Linked DNA regions of Drosophila melanogaster. The gene in region 3 interacts genetically with the main gene of each other region. Each region holds a gene or a part of one and is shown on either strand. Other genes may lie near its edges. The genes, in order: foxo, Akt, wdb and pbl.

Region 1 (4,951 bases), about 14 Mb from region 3:
ATACATATACATATACATATATATCGCTATATAGAGAAGGAGAGGCCCGACCAGGCAATGTGCAATAGTTCAGAATGCAGCGAGTGCGAACGCAAATGCAAATGAACGGCAGAGGCCCTGCAATGTTTATTGAATTCATTACAATAATTAAAGAGCAAACGAACGATTCGATTCCACTCGACCGATGGCGAAGTCAACCAGGAACGTAGAGCCCCCAAACGGCGATCTTCGATTGACAGCTGGGACAACTGACGCATGGAAATCATGGATGGGATCATCTGACTTCGCAAACGCAATCGATTTGCATTACTAACGTTTTTGGGGTCGGCGCGAAAAACGAAATAAATTAAGCAAAAAGAAGCGTTCGAAAAAAAGTTCTACACATCTGAGTAGAATATTTAAAAATCACAAAATAATACTAAGAAATAACTACTGGTATTCCGACTATATCTTTCTAAACAAAACAATATGTAGTGGCTCTCATTTAATGATCATTAAATTTCCATTACTAACGTTTTTCGGTTATCGGTAAAATCGACATTATCGATATAACTTATCGTCATTCTCAAACGAGCTTATTAGTAAGAGCTTTACTAATTCTTGAAGAATACTAGAATACGAAGAATACGTTTAATGTTGTCTCTCAAAATTAATTGACTTCCCGGTTTCCCTGCTTCAATTACAGCTTTTTAGACAAACTTTCGCACACTTTCTTGTTATCAACTGGCACGTTCCACCAATGTGGCTAGCAAACACTCAAGATATGATAAAAGTCACAATCGCAAGCACATAGGACGACTATACAGATGTGTGTATAGGCTTATATGTACACTTTTTTTGGGCCATCAGCTGCTGTTGTACCTTGGCACATTGCGAATAGATAAAAGCCTTATCTGTAAATGGGGAATAAAAAAGCCTCTTTCGACAGCTAACCGAGTGGCGAATCAACCCATTTATGAAAATTAAACCTAATCACATTTCAATGTCAATACTGATGTCAAGAGAATATTCAAAAGCATCTGAAAACGGTGCGTATACGAGATCGCTGGCAAAATATGGCAACAAAATCGACCTTAGTGGATCGCATACGAAAATCGGGGGAGCAAACAAACACAGAACGAAAGAAATGAGCTCCACGCAAACGACACACGCTTCAAGCTCTGCTATCAGTGTGGCGCTGGGGCTCTATTTTTAGAGCCATTATCAGCGCTGCTCTAATTAAGATCTCCCCTGCCCACTCCCATGACAAGTAACACACCAAAACGGACTAATCAAAACCCACACGAACTGAAAGATCATCTATTGGAGCGACACTGCAGCGCCGAACGTGACCGACTTTATGATTCTAGTCGTTTTGATCTTGAAAGTGAAACTAGGAATTACTCGAATAAGGTTATAAATCACATTCCCTATCGGTTGTATTAAAATTTGGGTCGTAAATTCAATAGATGTGACTACTTTAACACAACAAAAAGTCCAGCTTTCCTATCTAAAATTCTAAACACCAATATAAATAAAAGAACCTAACTCTAGTTTCTATTAAACCTCTTAACTTTTATCAAAGCTTATTTTTATAAATATAGCAATAGCAATTTATATTGGAAATATTTCACGGAAGAATGAATATTTTATTGTGGCGACTAAAAAAAATGTTGTTGTAATCAACATAAAATACCATTTAATTTAAATTTTAATTGATGTGTAGGAAAGCACTGCTTCAATTACTTTTTTAATCGCGTGACGAAACAAAATTTGACTTTTAGAATATTTCAATCAATTGCCGATTAGATTCGAATCGAATTTAGGAACTTAAAAAACATGACATTTTTCATTCAATCAAGTACACCTACTCGTAATTGTTAATAATATTTACCCGCCAAATGTTTGCAATGGGAAATAGCTGGCTAATTTGTTGCTCCTTGTTGATTGCGATTTAAAAAATTGTTGATTTTGCCGGTGGGATTTGTTGATCGCCGTTTGCTGTTGTTAACTGGCACTGTTTTACTTTATTTTCCTGGTTGCTTTGCACTTTTTTATGGGTTTGTTTTTTTTTTATGGGTAGTATATATGATTGTGTTGTTGTTTTGAGCGAAACTTGTGCGGATTTCTTGATTTTTAGTGGTTATTTAAATATATACATATATATTTTTTAGAATTCTGTTGGCATAATTTTCTGCTCACACACACACACACTCATTAAATGGGTTTCTTGTTGTTGCTGGGCGGCGGTTTTGCTTAAGCTAAAGACGATTGTAAAAACGGTAAATTAGAATATATATATAACAACAATCAAAATAAACAAATAAAAAGAGCGCGAAGAGAGCGGCGCGATTAAAGAGCGTAGTGTGTGTATGTGTGTGTGCCGAAGAAAGAGAGGGAGAGAGCGAAGAGAGCGATCACGTCACGTCATCAATTCATGCCAATTGGACGCACACACAACACTTAATTGGAATTCGTATGAGAATTCAATGAAAACCGTGCGGCGCAGTCGAAAAGTTGTTTAAAGTTCAAATGGGTAAAAAATTTTAATATAAACACGTTTCGGAGCTTACTCCAATTCGCTTTTTATTCGCCACTAGTGTGCGTAACGTATTTTATGTGCCATATAGTAGGTACATATGTATGTATTTGTATGTACAACGTGACTGCTACGAAGATCATCCAAGCATCGCTATTTAATACGTTTTGGAGCTTTTCTCTTATTTTATACGATTGTCGTATGTAAAAAACGAACGCGTTCCTTCTACGTTTCAGTTTTGAGTTCGGCACATTCACATGTTTTGAAAGCGAAACATATTTATTTTCCACTTTCTTGATTTGTTTCTACATTTGCGTTTTAGAATCAACGGTGTTCGGCCCCAAACGATTTGGGCCTCAAAAGATCACTGCGTTTTTTGCATTGGTTTATATTTGCTTTGCTTGAAGTTGAAAAGGAAAACGATGAACGATGAACGACCTCGTGGCTTTTAACCGCAAGCGAAAAAACACAGACTACTCGTTAACTGCTTTCTAGTTGGATGCGAACTGACAACTGAAACTGATTCGCCGTCGCCTTCGTAAAAGTGTTCGTTTCGGCGGCGCAAAAAGGCGGTCTGTGCGTGTGTGTGTGCGACCTATGTCCGCGTATGTGAGAGCTTGCTCTTAGCATCCACTCACGTTCCACAACCGCTCACTTCACCGCTTTTTTATGTTTGTGGCGCGCTTCGTCTCACACACTCTCACACACTTGGGGCCAAAAAATTAGTGGGGTATGCCAAATCGATATGTTTTATTTGAGTATTTTCTGCGTGAAATAAGAGAAGTTATAGCTATAGCTATAAATGCAATAGATATTTTAAATCTTAAAGCATACAAATTTCTCTCTTTAAGGGATATTAACCCCAACTAAATGATAATTCGTATAAAATAAAAAAGGAATTGTTTCAATACTTACAAATTTAATAATATAAAACTTAATCTATTTATTTTTAATAACGGGTGACTGTTTTAATGAAAAGAATAAAGTTCAGCTGCAGTGAAACATTTAAGACGTCATTGCATATTAATAACAATTTGAAAAGTATTCATTATAAAAAACATGTTATTCACTATTGAGGTGACCGCCTTTGTGCCCCCGTCAATATTAATAAATAAAAGCCATAGTTTACCTATTTTATACATTTGGAATTTAAATTGTTTCTTTTCATTTCGGTCGCGCTGCTCTGAACTCGAAATTCTCGACGATGGAGGAAAGGGAACGGCGGCGGTGGGTGGTGGTTGGGCGTTTTGGGTGGGGTGATGGGGCGGTCGGCATTGCTGATAAGGCAGCCGTTATCTCGCGATTGTCGCTCGCTCGTTCACTCAAGCTCTCTCTCTCCCTCCCTCTTTGAGGCTCCATTTCTCTCTTACGTTCATTGTCTCGTGATGCGATGGAAAATTTCCCGAAATTGCATTCTACTGATAATGCCAGCAATGCACATTTGTGCATATGAATATGGGACTCAGAAGTGCCCCGCATCTCTTGCAGTGTGCGAGCTTTTTGGGAGCATGTATTTTATGGTCAAAGTCCCCCGCATCCCCGACCACCGAAAAATAAGCCCCTCCCGGTGCCAGTTTTTTTTTTTTTTTTAATTTCATTTTTCGCCTAGGCCCGATATCTCTATACTTGTACACACGTTCGCGTCCATGAGAGTGTGTATCGGTGTTATTTTAATGTGCCTGCCACATAAATTCCGCAACATTACACGGCTAATGAAGTCTAGACGCTGAGGACGGAGAAACCAACAGTTTATGGATCATCCAAACTTAAAGACCGACCCGATGCGATCGTCTCGATCCCTCGAGAGGGGGGATTAGAAACGAGCCAAGGAGATGAGTTAAGGACTTTAGGGTGCATCTTGGCATATCTAGGATCTTAAAGATTTCAAATTTGCAGGCTTCATTGGGTAATTTTTTGTTAATTTGTAATTTTTCAGAATATTTTTATTGCTTAAAAAGCTCTTTTAGTTTTTTTTTGTTGTAAGATTATAGCTCTATTAAATAGGCCTCAAAGTCTGCAAAGTCCCGAGTTATGACAATAAAAGTTTGCATGTACATAGAGATTTTGGAATGCGAGAACAACAAGAAGATAAGTCCGCCAAAAGATACATATATATTTTAGAATGCTATTAAGTTGGCTTAAGAACGATAAGTAACACGTTGGTATAGGTAAGTTCCATCTGGAAGTGGGCTTATAAATCACTACTACCATTTAAATGAGCATGTAAATAGCATGTTAACTGGAGTATCAAATGAATTGAAGTTCTCAAGACTAATTTATGCGTTTGAATGATCAGATAAAAGTTAAAATCACTCGAGCAGTGTATCAATAGGCCGCCCACTTCCCATTCCATTCCATTGAAATTACACAGACGTTTCAGCTATCGCCAGCTAATACTTGATCATAATTGTCAGCGGCAAAAAAAAACAGAAA
Region 2 (7,637 bases), about 11 Mb from region 3:
TTTTTTTTTAATCGAAACCAAAAATTGTCTCACACAACTCAGTAAACTTAGACAACTATTTTGAAAGGTCTCTTTCGTCCCCTTCGACGGGTAGAAAATGCTTCGATTTGGGATACCAGAGATGTTGACGTTCACTAAGGCTAGTATTCAATTTGCTTCGGATGTCCCTAACCGATTTCTAAGTCTTTGCTTTAGATTTCTAGCTGGTTGCCCCTTGGCTGGCAGACTTGCCTAACGAGTCTGTCAGAAGGGTTATTGGGCTTGTTGAAGTCGATTCTCGGGTTGTATGTCTATTAAGCCATGCTTAGGGGTTCTATATTTTGTCTATGTATTGCTTGATCGATCTGAGATTGATATTGGCTAGCCTAGATGTCAGCCGCAAACTTGGTGAGCAGAAAGCAAGGACTTTAAGCTGTTCAAGGATATAAAGATTGGTTCAATCGGAGCTATCTGATATCTCTCCTCAGCATAGGCTGGCTTTAGCTAGTTAGTTCGTTCCTAGTCATGATTTGGAACCATCATCGTCACATGTCCAAGACTCCAACCGAAACATCCCGACTTGCTGGCTCCTCAATTCTCGGTTCTCCTCGAGTTCCACCTAACTTCGCCGCTTCTTTGGCATTTTCTTTTCGTTTCTATATCCCTTCGTTTTCGATTTGCTGTTTATTGTAATCATCGAGTGATAGGTTTCGTTTAACATTTAGAAGAGAGATTATGCTTTCAATTTCTTTGTTTTCAGTTGAAATTCCCGAACTTGATTTTATTTAATAATTTTTATTTACAATATTTATTTTGTTTTCTTTACGAAATATAAAATAACTTTTTGTTTCGTTTTATTCTTGATTTTTGTTTTTATTGCGCATATAAAAATATCAAAAATTCTTTATTTTCTTTTAGGTTTTTTTTCTGTTTATATAATTTTTAATCTTCCTTTTGGAACTATTTGTAAGTCTGTTGTGGTTGATTTATATATATTTTTTGCTGACTTGCTCTAAGTATACAAAACTTGTTATGAACTTTTCAATGCCAAAAATGAAATGACAAAGATACATTTTTTATTGTGTCAAAGGTTAAACCTTTTCTGTGGCCTCAAATGGTGACTTCCATTTTCCACACGACACATACATCCTTTGTTTTTTTTTTGCATTTACTCTTGAGTTTTTGCTTTTTTTTTATAAATATTTACAAATATATATTTTTCGTAAAAAATTATAATAAAAAATGGCGTCAATTGTAATCATTTTGCTGTTGCCGTTATTGTTTCGAAATATGTTTCTGCCTGAATATAACTTTTAGTTGCTTGCTAATTATTGGCGCCTATAAACTGCATTGATGTATGTTTCCCTCGTTTATTAACTATTAGTTTGTTTGTTTCTGTTGTTGTAGTTTTGCATAAAGCACAGCACATTAGAGGCAATTTTAACATTATATATAACTTGTAATTGTTTCTGTTTCTTTTTTGCTTCTTTGGAGTATAAATAATTTATATATACGAGTGTTGCATGTGGGGGCGGTTGTTGAATATGTGTATTTCGATTTGTTGCTGTCAAGTTAACTAAACTTCATGTTCGCTATATGCTAAGTGGCTGTGTGAGTGCTGTCTGCGTGAATAATCTGTATAATCAATCAGCTTAAGCGACCCCTAGAGGATGCGATCCGATGATGCATGCTTTATCCTAGCACTAAGTCGCTCTAAGTCGCTTGGTTAAATGTTTTCCTTGCGTTTAAAATTAACTAATCACTTCAAGCGCTATGCCCCAAGTGTTATATTTAGTTGTATATATAATTATATATATATATATATATATATTTATATATATGTGTATAATCATATGTAGTAAATTATTTTCCTCGGCTTCGGCTGTTGCCCTTTCGTTCAACGTTCCCTTTCTCATTATACAAAAATAAGTTACTATCAATTCAATTCTCTTATTATTGGTGTATATAAACTAGCAAGAAAACCCTTTGCTTGCCTTCGTTATCATGGTATAATTAATATTTAATATATTCTTGCTGTTGTTTTCTTTTGCCCATTTCTATGTGTTATAGGTATAGTATAGTAATAGGTGATGAAGCAGAACATGATGTGTGCTGGTAAAAGTTTGTAAACTTGTTCTATTGCATCGATGCGAGACTTGTGGAAGTACTAATGTGCGACGAGGTGCCCAACGTGGAGGCCATGTCTCCTTGGTAGCTGAACTGTGGCGGTGAAACCAAAAATTGGATGAGCATACAGAACCCCACTTTAAATGTTTTCAACTAGATCTTACCTGCGGGAAAAGCGGCTCTTCGGCTATGGAGCCCAACGGGCCAGTGGGATCCGGCGGCGTCAACTCCACACTCTCTCCCGTAAACTCCTTGTCGAAGTACCTTGTATCCGTATCGGATGTCACCTGAGGCTTGAAAGGCGGCGGTATCTACGGTAAGCATTTTAAATTCGATTAATATATACGAATAGGTAACTGACAGATTTACTGTGCCCTACTTTTTTCAACACTAGATCTGTCCAGTTAATACTCGCAAAGAATGGATGTGCTTGTATCTCCTTGACATCATCCTTTCCACCTCCCAAACGCTTTTTGGGATCCTTAGCTAGAAGGCCTGCTAACAGATTTTTCGCCTCATCTGTGATATTACGCGGGAATTTTACCTCCTCCACCAAAATCAATGTAAAGAGCACATCATGATCACGATTGTAAAACGGAAGACGACCACAGATCTGTAAGGAATTATTTTTGTTTTTAATACTTGTTAATAGTATTTGCAGATGCAACAAACTCACCATCTCGTACATGACCACGCCAGTGCCCCACCAGTCCACCGCTTGGCCATAATCATTGTCATCTAATACTTCCGGAGCTAGGTATTCCGGTGTACCGCAGAAGGTTTTCGTTGTGCGGCCGTAGGTGATGTCCTCCTTGCACAGACCGAAGTCTGCGACCTTTATGTGACCATCTTTGTCCAGCAAAAGATTTTCCAGCTTTAAGTCGCGATAAATTATGCCCTGTGAATGCAGATAGCCCAGAGCAGAAATGATCTCTGCCCCATAGAAACGTGTTCGATCCTCAGTAAATATGCGTTCGTGGCTTAAATGCCAAAAGAGCTCGCCACCGTTCACGTACTGCATCACAAAACACAGGCGGTCGTTGGTTTGAAACGAATATTTGAGTGACTGCAAAACAGGGAAGACATATATTAGTTTTTTAACGTAAATTATATATTACTAGCAATACTTACAATGAGGAACGGATGATTTGTGGACTTGAGCACACGACTCTCGGTCAGGGTATGGGCCACCTCGTCCTTTTGGATAATAACTTCCTTTTTAAGAATTTTGATCGCGTACAGCTTGGCGGTAGCCTTCTCGCGACACAAAATAACCTTACCAAAGGTGCCCTTGCCGAGCACCTTGAGGAACTCAAAATTCTCCAAAGTCTACAAGGAGATAAGATGGAGTCAGCTCGATCACGCCCTTGGTCAATGACCAGGTGAGTGGTACTTACCACTTTCTTAACGCCGCTGCTATTACAAGTCGTTCCCTGTACGGAGAACTGCTCGGAAAGCTCGTCCTCGGCAATGGTGGCCATGTCCACGTCTGTCATGTCTGTCTGTTCAGATGGCGTCATAGCCACCTCACCCACATCTATGAGCCGGCTGGATACGTTGCGAATGGCCTCCGTCCACTGCTGGCGCTCTAATTCTGATTCGACGGCAAATGTCCTTTCGATTACCGTGGTCCATTGCAGGCCGCGGATGATGAAGGTGAATGGCTTGGGCCGATCGACGGTCATGATCTGGCAGCCGCGCACCGTAAAGTTGTTGAGCAGGAAGTCCGATGGCGTGCTGGCACTATCTGCCGGCTTGCTGCGGTAACCCATCAGTCTTCCATCGGAGTGGAGCACGAAGTAGCGCTGGCGCCAGTTCTTTATGTGCTCGCCCCTCTTCATCAGCCACCCCTCCTTTACGACCTGAGTCTGTTCCGTAAGCGCATGACCCGATGTAACGCTGGGCGAGCTGAGGTCGAAAGTTGTGTTTATTGACATGGTTCCGGAATCGTGTGTAGGGGCCGCGGAGGTCCTGCTTGGCCAGGATTGCTGCCAGCTGAATTTCTCTGCACTGCCGCTGGTGGGGCTGCTGTTTGGATGGGTGGATTGGCTGTAGATGATGTTAATGATGTTGCTCCCTGTGGTGGTGGGCGATTCCGGGATCCTAGAGGCAGATCCTGGCGCTGGGGCGCTGGCAACCACAGTCGATCGCCGCTGAAGAACAAACGGTAGGTAATTCGTGTTGAGGCTGTTTCACTAACCCTAGGGACAAGCTAATGAGGGACCTGTAAGAGGAGTACAGTGAATCCTTTATATTCATGCTGAGTTTGAAATACTTAAACTAAGAATGCGATCGACGAAAAGAAAAAGGCTTTAGCAGAGGGTTCGTCTAGTAACACCTTTACCTTCAGGGATTCAACATGTACTAGATATTAACTGATCCGCCAACTGTCGACATAAACTAGTCAAAGTGGACAAATGGAGTTCCCAAATGAGCTAGCTATCAAAAAAGGGGAAACAGACACTAAAAGGCTGCCAAGTCTATCCAGATATATACTTCCCACATCGCCTATCTCACGCTGATAGTAAACAATTGTTATTGTCATTTTGCATGTTTATGACAAATGCAGTTGGCGCTTGCGTCAGCAGCTGGTGCAAAACATTTGCGGCATTTCCGTCGCCAGAAAGGGATTGAATTGGATTGAGGACTGTGATTCTGATTGTATCGAATTGGATGGGTTGGTATGGTGTGGCATGGTATGGGATTGGATTCTTAGTCACTGGCCCACATGCAGATGTAGGCGCCATCGTCGCCTTGTTGTTGCTGCCACTTTCGGCTTCAAACGAAATTCCCCGCCATGTTACGCAGCGACACGGCGATACGAGTGAAAATTGTTCGCGATTGCATTTAGCGCGAAATTAAATCAAAACAAGTCGACGGCGGCGACTGTTCATGAACTTATGTATATGCATATATAATACATACATATACATATGTACACATACAGGGGACTCGCAGGCGGCACTCGCACTCGTACTCGCACTCACACTGGCACAACTGCAAAAGCAAAAGCATATTCATTTACAATTTGCGAAAATGTCAACGACGGATGGCCGCCGGCTGTACAAATGTCGCTATCTATCTAAAACTGTAAACAAATGTACATAAAATAAAAATCGACAAAATACACACACAGGCATAAGCGGACAGGCGCTCGCACACCGAGGCAGTCACACAGACAGGGCTGCATTGCAAAGTGCGAGTGAGGCCAGACTGTGGGTGCGAGGGGGAGGGAGACAGACAGTACGCGTGTCTGCCACAAAGGTGTATGAGTGTGAGTGTATGTGTGAGTGTCTGGCCGTGTGCGTGTGATTGTCTGGCCGTGTGGGTGTGAGTGGCTGAGTGAGTGAACCACCGAGTGTGCGAGTGTGTGTGGGCAGCGGCGACCTAGCAGCGCAACATGTCAAATCACTTCGTGGAAATGGAAATTGTGGAAATGCTGGTGAAAAATACAAGAACCCACCTAGTTTTGTAAAAAAAAAAACCCGACTTTTGCTTTCCCTACTGCACTGCGGTTTGTTTTCCTACTCGTTTTGGTATTTTCCTTTAGATGGTGACGGCAGCGACAACGTCACAGGCCTTCTTATTATTGTGCGTGTGTTGTTGTTGCTGCTTGCTATTGTTGTTGTTGCTGCTGCTGCTGTAGTTGTTGTTGTGTTAAGGTGCCAGACACCAGAGGACGGAACGAAACACACACAATCTCGCACTCGCGCACTGGAAGTCGATTTCCGCCACCCGGGCGTTTCCACTTGGTGTTTTCTTGCCTTCCAAAGCAACGTTGCATCAATTGCAAATGCTTAAAAACGTAGTTTTCATAAACAGAAGCACGCACACAGGCAAAGTAAATTTTCCAAGTACCGTTTAGTTTTTACGCTTCACTTTTTTTCGATAACTGGCTCGATAACTGATTCGATCCGCGTTGCCACCTGTTTTAGCGATAGTTAGGCGACTGTTACGGTGGAAAGATGCCAGAGAGAGACATTATTTAAGAGCTGTACAACGCGCAAATATCCCTTAAATTTAAATTAAATGTTTTAGAAGGCAATAGTTCTGTTTTCTGACTGTCTAGGCCGACTCTTTAACTAGAATTCACTTCAAATTTGAATGTATGAACTGCAGATTAATAATAATGCTGTATTGTTATTAAATTCATTTTTAAAAACTTTATTTTATATGCTATGTATACAAAACTATTTCTTATATCGACAAATTGTTATAACTTTTCAAAGCATAATTGATCAAAAATTTGGAAGCCCTATCAATTTTATATATGGTTCCTGTCCGCACTAAGTAGATACTCTGATAAGTATGACCATGTGTAAGTAGCTAGAAAAAGTCAGTTCTCTTTTCCAGTTTCCCAGATCAAATTTGATATTCACCTCTTTGGGCACTCTTGCTCAGATTTGTTTATGCAGAACGCGAAGTCTCCTTTGAATCCGAAAAAAAAACAAAAAACGAGTAGCGAATAAAGTGCCCCATTGGCACAAAACGAGGTAAATAACTTGCAACCCAATCGGAAGGGAGAACATAGCATGCCACTTTCAAATAAACAAATAACGACTCCAGCGCGACTGTGTGTGCGTGAGTCCCTCCCAATGTTTGTGTGTGTTATCAAAAAAGGCGTAGAAAAGTGCAAAAACAAAGGTGTTATTGACTCTCAACTTTCTTTTTCTGCCTATCGTGTGTATCACTGTGGGCTGTGGCCGAATAAGAGCGTTCGCCGAATATGAGCAATTGGAAAAGCATGAGCATAAGTAATGAGGCAGAATCGGTTGCATTCAATTAGTTGGAGAAATGAAAAATATGAAGAGATGGTGTAGAGAGAAGGGAAGAGTGCAGTCTCGAGCAATCAATACCAACGCAGCCACGAGCCCCCCTTTCTTTGTGTGTGTGTGTGTTACCGTGTGAAAACAAAACAAATGTATGCTAGCTGTGGAAAAGAAAGCGCATAATTGAATAATAAATAATAACAGAAACAGGGCAAATGGCAACGACTCAATGACAAAAGTAAAGCCGCCACCGCAGCAGAAGAAATGTGGGTGCAAAAGTGAAGAAATATGCCATTGTTTATGTGATTTGCAAATGTGCACATTCACACAAACACCGTGGCAAGATAACGGTTGTTGTGCGGGCGGGTGCATTGCTCGAAGTGGCTGTGCAATTGTAAGAGCGAGATAGCAATACGAAGAGAACAGGACTGAGCAGTACAGGGGCGAAATCCAGGGGACCTTAAACGTGGATTATGGGCACCTTAAATGTTTTTGTAAAATCAAATCACATAAATACCGTACTTTAAACTATTCAGTGAATTAAAATTGTGTTACTGATTTTAAAAATGTAAGTTGTAATTTCAAGTTTGGAAATGAACGGTATGCCCTGCACGTTTGTCTAGATCCACCCCTGGATAGAGCGCAGCAAAGAGAACAGTGCAAATCGAATTAGTCCAGACTTTTGGTCACGCCCTTGAACTTCGCATTAACCCACCAACGCCCCCCTTCCGCAGCTAGCACCTAAGGACCCCACACACCACA
Region 3 (4,676 bases):
TAGAAATCCGTGACGTCAAAGCCAAGTTAACGGGCAAATAGACAGTGGGCCAGTTGACACAAACCCGCTTGGATGAACAATAAAAAGCGATTGTCAGCTAGAAACTGGAAATCAAATCGCTGAAAATTTAAGTGATCTTTTTTTCATCGCCACTTAATTGCACCCTAGTCACGTTCGGTTTGGGAACTTTACGCTGGGCGTGCTTGGGTTGCCTTGTGGATTACATGGATTATGGATTATAATTAAAGTGATCAGTGCGGCGATATATAATGGCTTAATTTCAGGGCAAATCGAGGGCCTTGTCACCGCGATGACAGCTACAGCTACATATATCTATATAGAGCTAAAGTTGTTCTGCCCCTTCGAATTGATTTACCATTTTGACACATTTATGATAATTTCGAGTAGGCTCGACGAATTTCGTGTGTCCCCACACGTATATATCAATTGGAACTTGTTAATTTGCCGAGCAGGTTCTGCCCCCCCCCCCCCCACTGACCCACCCCCTCAAGCAATCACTCAATCAATTAGAACCAGTTATTTGCCTGACTTTCAATCGGTGGTTATGGCTTAACCCCTTGGCCACATTTATTTAATTCGTTAAGACATTTCATATTGAGGTGACGTTGGCAATTGGCATTATGTTTGATTTAACACATTTAACAATTTGATGTGCTATAGTATATATAAATTGATATTTAAGTTTACGTGTTTCGTGGATAATAATAACTATTAATTAAATAAGAAAGGGGTAATGATATTCTATTGTATTGATGGACTTCCTTCCTTCAAACCCCTGTTTTTCTGAGCATTTTGAATTTGAATTTCTAGTAGTTTCATTTATGGCACATTAGTTATCCAAGGGTTAGGCATGGAACGGAAATGGAGCGAGCTTTTAGCCCAAAATGGCATCGATTTGAATCAAATTCGCTGTGGGCCAACTTCCGTTGGTCTTGGCATACCTTTCTCGATTTCAGAGTTTGTAATTCTCGTCTGCTCGATATCTCAGTTTTTTCAGTTTCAGTTTTGGTTTTCGGTTTCGGCTCTCGCGTTTGCCTACGTCACGGAGATGCTTTTTCTCGTTTTATCTTTGCTTTTGGCTGGCGGTTTAGCGCTGCTTGCTGGTTTTCACTGTGGATGTGTGTATAGCAGTTGGCATAATTGAATTAGAACTGTAGTTCACGAGAGAATTTTGCACAACGCATCGCGCGGGTGGAGGGGGTTGTTCGAATGGGAGGGGGGGGGGGGGCTGTGTTGTCCAAGTGGGGTCAACACATGTAAATGCGGTGTCAAAGCAAAATACACAAAGATCTTTAATGGCGAACGTGTGTGAGTGAGTGGGGCGCACTTTGGGGAATGGGAGAAGCGTAAGAATGTGAATGGGTAGAGAGAGAGGATGGGAAGATGAGTAAAAGGTGAGAGAGCGCAGCTGTTTTGATGGGGCTCTTTTCGCTGTTGCCTTTGCTCTATCTTTTGCTTCACTTCGGTTTGTTGATTCCTTTCATCTATTTTGCCTTTTTCCTCATTTAGGTAAGAGGAGTAAGATTAGGTAACTTGTGTCTATATGAACATAATTCTTAACACATTTTACTGCTTGACACACACACTTATCATAAATATGTATGTTTCAAACACACACACAGGCACACACACTCGGTGCGAGAGAGACACACACACGCACGCGGCACAAAATCGATATTCTAAAAATAATATAAGTAAAAAATATATATGCTCATACGAATTCTAACCGATTGCGTGCGTGTATTTGTGTGTGCGTGTGTGTGTGCGGGCTGGCTGGATTGCGAGCGTAATTACATATTTATTTATTTATTAAAACTTTTGAAACACCGAATTGCGTCTGGGGATTTAGCCGCTTACTGCGCACTTGAAAAATTTGCATTCGCCTTGGAAATTTGGCTTTAATTTTGCACTCGGCTTTGTTTAGTTGCCTTTTATTTCTCCTTCTTTATTCGGGCTTGGAATTTTCGCTGCAGAATTTATTAAAAACCGACTGCGTATGTGTGTATATAAAAGATTTCTATATCTTTTGCAACCGACGACGAAGGCGGCATACGGCAACTGTGGCGATATTTTTTTCCTTCGTCCGACTCTCGCGCTCTCTTTTCGTTTTCGGCTTGCTCTCTCTGGCACATGGGTATATACTATACGCGAGAGGGAGCAGGCACACACAAACGAAAAGCCTGCCTCCAATTGATTAGTATTAGTACTTCGAATAGTATTACTATTGTTATTGTTTTCATCTAGCTGACTTTCAATTGTTTGGTGCTGATATTTAGCTAGATTCCCCAGGTGCGATTACTCATTTGGCTTTTGTTTCGAGACCACTGTGCCAGATTTCTGGGTGAGAGCGTGGTGAGTTTCGTTTCAACTCACCACAGAAACTGTTGTTGCGCGTCGCGCTCTCTATTTAGGCGGCTCTCTCCCACACACGGTCACACTACAGTCCCAAAAATGAATGAAAATACCACAAAATACCATCCAACGCACGGGCACACCGGCGAACTGAAAGACGCCGCTGCTTTCAAGTTTTTCTCCCGTTTTTATTTCCTATCGAGGGCGATAACCAAACAAGGCTATCGTTATCGACCTCTCGCTCGCTCTGTATCCCTCCTTCCCTGTCGCACTCGCTCTCCTTTTGTGTGGCTAATTTTTTCCTTTTAGTCCTTTTTTCGGTTGCCTTCGTGCAGAAATTCCCTGCTTTATGTAATTTAGAACACAATGTTTGCGTTGCACTGTTGGCCGACTGCAGCTGAAAACCGCACAAAAAAAGCGACGCACACACACACCTTCGAGCATCCGGACTTCCAATTTGCACTGCTTTTCTAACAGTCTATCGCGCACGCACTGCCACAATTTCACCCGCTTATCGCGCCGCAATATGGGACGTTCGCTTTTCAATCGATTTTGGTAACCGGCAGGTGCGCTTTATGCGAGAATTACGAATTTTCTCCAGCGGCAACTAGAATCGTTCACACAGACACCGTAGAAGTGACGCCATCTTTGAAGCGATTAGTGTTGCAAAGCGCGTCTGCAAAAGTGCTGGCTACCAACTACGGTTGATAGGGATGAGGGCTATGGCTTGTTGACCGAAAATGATAAATGTTAACTATGCCAATATATTTTAGATTTTACTAATACGTTACAAAAATAAGAAAAGACTATGATAAAATTGTGTTTTAGCTTGGCTCATAAGTATTGATCCTTTATAAGCTATGGTCTTGCAGTGGCTAACATTTCTCAAATTAGGGCAACCATCTGATAAGATTTCTAATTCGAATTCTAATAAATGAATTTAAACTGCTTTTTCTTAAAGTTAAAAAAAAATTAGTTTTAAATCAAACGGCATGCATACATTAACCATCAAACAATGTAATTATATATATAATATTACCAATTGGGCTACTAAATATTGCTGATATGTAAGCTATGGTCATGAGGTAAAGGCATATTATTTATATAATTTTCATAGTATCTTTGTTGTAGGGGAAAAATAACAAGTAATTTAAAATTGTTCAATTGACTTAAAACAAAATATAACAGATATTATTTTTAAATCCAACGACATACCATATAAAGTTGGTATTTCTTTCTAATCTGCTTGGTATTCTCATCGACCCCAATCGGTCACACTGGTCGTGAATCAGAAACGCACTAATTAGTCAAAAAAACGGTACAAAAGATCGCTTAATTGCTGAAATTTCACCTGTCGCAGTTAAGTTTACCCACCAGCAGTTCAAAACCAGCCAGAGGCTAGCTAAAAACCCCAAAGATCGACCCCAAAACATCGCCGCAAAGTGGACAACTCCCAGTTTTCAGAGCACCTGCCCCTCAAAAAGGAGCATCGCGACAAAAAGGCGAGACTTCGCAGCAGAATGTCCTCGCTCTCTGCGTCCGCGGAGAATGTGTCCAGTTTGGGACTGGGATCGGGCGGAGGAGGAACTACTTCCCACGACGGCAACTCCCAGCAGGGTTCCGGATCCGACGGAGGATCCAGTATGTGCCTGGAACTGGCCCTCGAGGGTGAACGCCTCTGCAAGGCGGGTGACTGCCGGGCGGGCGTGGCCTTCTTCCAGGCGGCCATTCAGGCCGGAACCGAGGATCTTCGCACTCTGTCCGCCATCTACTCCCAGCTGGGCAACGCCTACTTCTACCTAGGCGACTACAACAAGGCGATGCAGTACCACAAACACGATCTTACGCTGGCCAAGAGCATGAACGACCGACTGGGCGAGGCCAAGTCCTCTGGCAATCTGGGCAACACCCTCAAGGTAATGGGTCGCTTCGACGAGGCGGCCATCTGTTGCGAGAGGCACCTAACGCTGGCCAGGCAGCTGGGAGATCGTCTGTCCGAGGGACGCGCTCTTTACAACCTAGGAAATGTCTACCACGCCAAGGGCAAGCACTTGGGTCAGAGAAACCCTGGAAAGTTCGGCGACGATGTCAAGGAGGCGCTCACCCGTGCCGTGGAGTTTTACCAGGAGAATCTGAAGCTCATGCGGGATCTGGGTGATCGTGGTGCTCAAGGTCGAGCTTGTGGTAATCTGGGAAATACCTACTACCTACTAGGCGATTTCCAAGCGGCCATTGAGCATCATCAGGAGCGACTGCGCATTGCCAGAGAGTTTGGTGATCGCGCGGCTGAGCGAAGGGCCAAC
Region 4 (4,709 bases), on a different chromosome or scaffold from region 3:
ATATCACCTTAACATGACATCGAATGCTTTCCTCGGAAAGTAATATATTTATTTATGAAATACATAGTTATTTTTACTGTTCCTGCACCTTTCCCAGGTGTTTGTCGATGGTCTGGCTGAATGGATGGATGATTCACGAAAGACTTTACCCTACTTAAGTTTCCCTCTGGCGAATATGTTGCTCTTGCTTTTGCGCATATTCAACCCTTGGAAACGAGTACCTGAAGGGGTTTATCTGGGAATCTTGAAATACCTGTAAAATCCTCGTACACCTGACACAAGGCGGCCTGTCGAAGCTTCGCCTGTTTGACCTCCTCGTCGGCGGCATATGTGAAATAGGAGGCGGATTGTCGCTGAACCGTGACCACTTTGTTGCTCTTTTTGCCCAAATGGTTGCCAAAGTTGAACTGCACCAGCGGTAAGTGTAACATTTTGTTCGCAGATCCTCAAGGATCGGGCTCTAAAACATAACTAAATGCAAGACGAGCTCAGGCTGAGGGAACACCTGAAATCGCATTTTGCATGGCCACAGGTGGTAGCTTCTTCGGTTCAAACAAGAAGAAGAAGGTATGTAAGTGAGGTCAGGAGAAAAGGTAAACGCAAAATGGTAAGCAAAATTTCCGAGTGTGAGAAAGTGCCGAGACTCACAGGTGGCGGCCACCATTTTTCGCCATTCGGGAATTTCCTTCCTTTTTGCCCGAACAAAATCCGCTGTTGTTATTTATTTTCTACTTTTCCTCGCTGGCTGCCTGCCAGGGAAACGATGAAAAACTAATTGAGTGGCATCTGAGAAATGAAAAGCCATCGGAAGAAGAGGGCTGTGTGTGTGGGTTTCTGGGCATTCAGCCACGCAGCGAAAAATGTCCTATGCGAAATCATAGTTAACCCAAAATGACAATTTTTGATTTTTACTTAAATTCTCGTGTCTATTGCTTTTGACCTAGACCTAAAAGCATTTTTAAGTGACAATGAAATCCAAAAATAAAATATTTTATGTAAAAAAATTGTGTTTTAAACGAAAGACGTTTTGTAATTTTGGAATAATATTTAGAAAATTACTTTAAATCTCTAGAAAAAAAAACCTCAGTTTACCTGCAAGTTTAAATTATACATAAAATCAACCAATTTCTCGCTGTGTAGCGGATTTTGTCAAATAGCAGAGCAGAGTCATCAAAGAAAAATCTTGTAATAAAATTACGTACGTATCCCGCGGAAGCCTTGACGTAGGCGAAGAGCAGATTCCGAAGGTCTGCGGGCCATGTAAAATGCCATTAGCATTGAGGGACGGAAAACACGGACTACAGGCTATATAGTCATAGTTGTATGGGCATGTGCGCCCTGTCAACATGTGTAAATGGAATACGAGGTAATCGGCCAGCGGGGTAGGTAAACCACCCGGAAAGCAAGGATCAAGGATTCTGTGCAACAAGAGGAGGAAGTAGAAGGAGCGAAGAGCCTGTCGAGCAGGATAAATTCTTCTTCTTACCTGGCGGCAAGTATTAGAGCGGAGCAGACAGAATAAGTACACAAAGATATCATGTAGAGTTGATTTCAAAAGTATCTACATACATATGCACATTTAAAGGCTAAATAACATCAAAGGAGAATTGATTTTATAACCTAACCAAATTATAAACTTTTAATTGATATATGCTTTATTTGCGCCTCAAATTCGGACACAAAATACATTAAATGATAATTTTATTTGTTTATGCCGCGCGCTGGAAAAATTCCTGCCGTACAACATATTTACACGTATTTTTTAAGGCAATAACCTTTGAAATTGTGTGGTATTTGCAGTTACACGTTCTCGTTGCGGAAATCGTAGGCTTATGGAAAGTATAACAATTTTAATTGCCTAGAAACAATTTTGTTTTTAGTTAAATAAAAATGTTAAAAATATAATAAAAACTTTATAGCAGAGATTTCTCTTTCCCATCAATACCTAAATCTATCTTTTGTTAATTGTTTACTTTTTTAAGATTCGATAGTTTCTTGTTTACTTTCTTTTATAGCTACAACTCCATGGCTAAAAACGGCTGAATTCGCATCAATGATAACAGGAACTGATCGCTTAAATTGTTGTTGCTTGTCCTTTCTTTTTACTCTCACAACAGTTAGGGCGCCTCAGTTGTTGTTGTTGTTCTTGCTGTCGGTACAGTGTCGCCGAAGAGAGGGAGAGTGAGGGGAAACGATGATGAAGAGAGGGAGGCATTTCGCATTTATGCGATAAATATTTTCTACACCGAAATAAATTCAGAAAAAAAGATTAAAATATCTGCGACACGATGCCGTTGCTTTTTTAGTCACACAAATACACACAAAGATGTACTTATAGTCGTTGTTATTTCATTTTATTTTTTTGCATTTGCTGGCAGCGACATTTTTTATGAGGATCTTTTGGCCCCGAATGTGGTTTTACCCCGTACCCAACCCCTTTGGGCGACATTGAAAAATGATAAATTCGCCGGCCATTTGGAGCTGCCACGCCCCGCGCCCTCTTTCAGTACTCACCGCACTTCGATTGCTCTTCAATGGTCTCCATTTCCATGGATCTTCTGCAGTTACTTTTTTAAGGCGAACAACTCGTGGAACATACACAAAAACACACACCAACAGAACTCGAAACACAATAGAACGAACGCACAAGGAGACAAATAATTCGTTTGTACTCGATTCGTTTACTTTCATTAACTGGACGCTGTTTTCATGCATTTAGCGCGCATCATTTCCATGTTTGTTTGTTTTTCTACTTTTTGTTACAATTTATTTATTATTTAATTAAAAAGCGGCGGCTCACGAAAACACACACACACAGACGCGCATAGGCAGCGTCGCCCGGTTCTTCGTCCTCTTGTTAGCGATACCGCGTACCTGCTTTAGCAATTTAACCAACAAAATGATCAACAATGTAAGCGAATTGCGCTCAACGGCTGCGCGTCGGAATCACAAATCAAAACTCAACGGACAAACGCGTCTGTTTCGAATTTTTTTCGCTGTAGTGTGCCGCGCAGTGTAACCGTCGCGGGGGCGCCAAGAAATACGCGCAAATGTGATGAACGAAATACCAGAATCAATCGGCGCTAAATAATGGTCACACTTGCAAGGGGTTGAAGGTATTCCCTGTAATGCTATATAACTAAATTAAACGACTATGGCTATAAAATAGTTGTAAGCTGCACTATATTAACAATCAATTAGAACTGTTTTCTTCGTTTAAGTTGTTTTTGGCCTGTCGATAAATTAAATTTGGTAATATCCTACTATTGTTGCAGTTGTAGCCTCCAATCATATTTTTCATGCAAGCTATATAAGCTACAGTTAATTTTATGTATGCTTGCTCATATATTTAATAAATGAATGCCTAAAACTACTTGCTTTTGTGCTACTTTGTTTAAATATACGCGCTTGATAACAACGAGTTGACCGATAAATACTGCTGGCGAAGTATCGATACCAGTGACAAGCATTGCCACTACGTCCGCACTTGTTGCTGTATCTTCACGCTCACGCACACTCGCACACAACCATTACGTCAATATGGCAAACAATCTGTCAAACGCGCAATTACAACAAACACAGTTCGTTCGCATTGACAGTTGGTCAATAGGTCCATCCAGGATTCGCTGAAGTGGTGAAGATAGCCAAGGACTGCAGCTGGCGTGGATTGGCAGAGGGTAATCCAGAGATCCGCGCAAAATGCTGCCACAAACGCCGCCGCACGGATTGAAGGTGATGTCGGGAGCGGAGGAGAACCGACACTATCTGCGCGCCTTCATCCAGACATACAGGGATCTGCCCGTGCTGTGGGACACATCGCTGCGGGACTACACCAATCGGGAGAAGCGGGCGGAGGCCTATTTGCGCCTGGTGCCCATATACCATTATCTCAAGCGGGACGCCACCGTGGAGGATGTGAAAAAGAAGATCAACACACTGCGCACGAACTACCGCAAGGAGCTGAAGGTGGTGGAGAGTGCCCTGCGATCGGGCAGCCTCCACAGTCCACGCTGCTGGACCTTTCAGGAGCTGGACTTTCTGCGCAACTCGGAGAAGTTTCTAGCCGTCAATCCCGCCTTTAAGAACGAGCCCAACTTCGCCTTCGGTGAGAGCAGCAATTGCCCGAGTGCGTTTCTGGAGAGCCAGGGAGCAGCCCTCCATTATCCAGCACCACGCGCTGGTGGTCAGACGCCCAACATTTCCGAGATGTTTCACAAATCATTTGGAGCTCCGCCACCGCCACCGCCAGCAACCAACCATGTGGATTATGGGAGCAGCAAGCGAGCCAGGCAAACGCCGCCATGTACGGGAGCAGGAGCCGGATCTACTGGCGGTCCTGGGGCAACAGGCACCGCCCACAACACCGACGAACTACTCAACATAGCCTGCGAGTATTTGGCTGGCACATATCCGGAGGAGGAGTCCATCGCCCGCACCTGGACGCACAAACTGAAGCGACTGCCGCGCGAGCAGCGTCTTCTGGCCGAACGTTTCATCAACGAGATTCTCTTCGAGGCCGAGTCCAACAATCTGCATCGCGGATCTGTGCAAATCAACAACAGCTTCGAACCCTACGTTCGCTACGAAGAAACGCCAAATGGTCACGAGGAGCAGGACAAATCACAGAGCCCCAGTGTGCACACCTCCAGCGAATCCAAGCCCAATGTGTCGGGAGCGAGCGGAAGCGGGGGAGGAGGTGGGCCACCGGG

What was found.
Region 1: of wdb (region 3) and foxo, changing one enhances a phenotype caused by changing the other (phenotypic enhancement), as found in Drosophila melanogaster (one study listed by BioGRID).
Region 2: of wdb (region 3) and Akt, changing one suppresses a phenotype caused by changing the other (phenotypic suppression), as found in Drosophila melanogaster (2 studies listed by BioGRID).
Region 4: of wdb (region 3) and pbl, changing one enhances a phenotype caused by changing the other (phenotypic enhancement), as found in Drosophila melanogaster (one study listed by BioGRID).

What each region holds. Positions count from the first base shown.
Region 1 is NT_033777.3:14,055,030-14,059,980, reverse strand, and holds the start of foxo (forkhead box, sub-group O), read right to left. Parts: upstream 3,037-4,951; 5' UTR 2,957-3,036; exon of another isoform or gene 2,553-2,956; intron 2,241-2,552; 5' UTR 1,874-2,240; intron 1-1,873. UniProt on the Drosophila melanogaster protein: Transcription factor involved in the regulation of the insulin signaling pathway. Consistently activates both the downstream target Thor\d4EBP and the feedback control target InR.
Region 2 is NT_033777.3:16,097,593-16,105,229, reverse strand, and holds the start of Akt (Akt kinase), read right to left. Parts: upstream 6,003-7,637; 5' UTR 5,570-6,002; intron 4,471-5,569; exon of another isoform or gene 4,451-4,470; intron 4,331-4,450; 5' UTR 4,287-4,330; coding exon of another isoform or gene 4,044-4,286; coding exon 3,504-4,043; intron 3,436-3,503; coding exon 3,238-3,435; intron 3,173-3,237; coding exon 2,783-3,172; intron 2,720-2,782; coding exon 2,486-2,719; intron 2,418-2,485; coding exon 2,271-2,417; intron 2,200-2,270; coding exon 2,116-2,199; 3' UTR 1-2,115. UniProt on the Drosophila melanogaster protein: Serine/threonine kinase involved in various developmental processes. During early embryogenesis, acts as a survival protein. During mid-embryogenesis, phosphorylates and activates trh, a transcription factor required for tracheal cell fate determination.
Region 3 is NT_033777.3:27,579,195-27,583,870, forward strand, and holds the start of wdb (widerborst), read right to left. Parts: upstream 3,048-4,676; 5' UTR 2,395-3,047; intron 2,350-2,394; exon of another isoform or gene 1,950-2,349; intron 1,132-1,949; exon of another isoform or gene 963-1,131; intron 1-962. Other genes in the region: pins (partner of inscuteable), read left to right, coding at 3,894-4,676.
Region 4 is NT_037436.4:7,908,908-7,913,616, forward strand, and holds the start of pbl (pebble), read right to left. Parts: upstream 3,048-4,709; 5' UTR 2,552-3,047; coding exon 2,515-2,551; intron 432-2,514; coding exon of another isoform or gene 254-431; intron 1-253. Other genes in the region: CG8281 (uncharacterized protein), read left to right, coding at 3,700-4,709.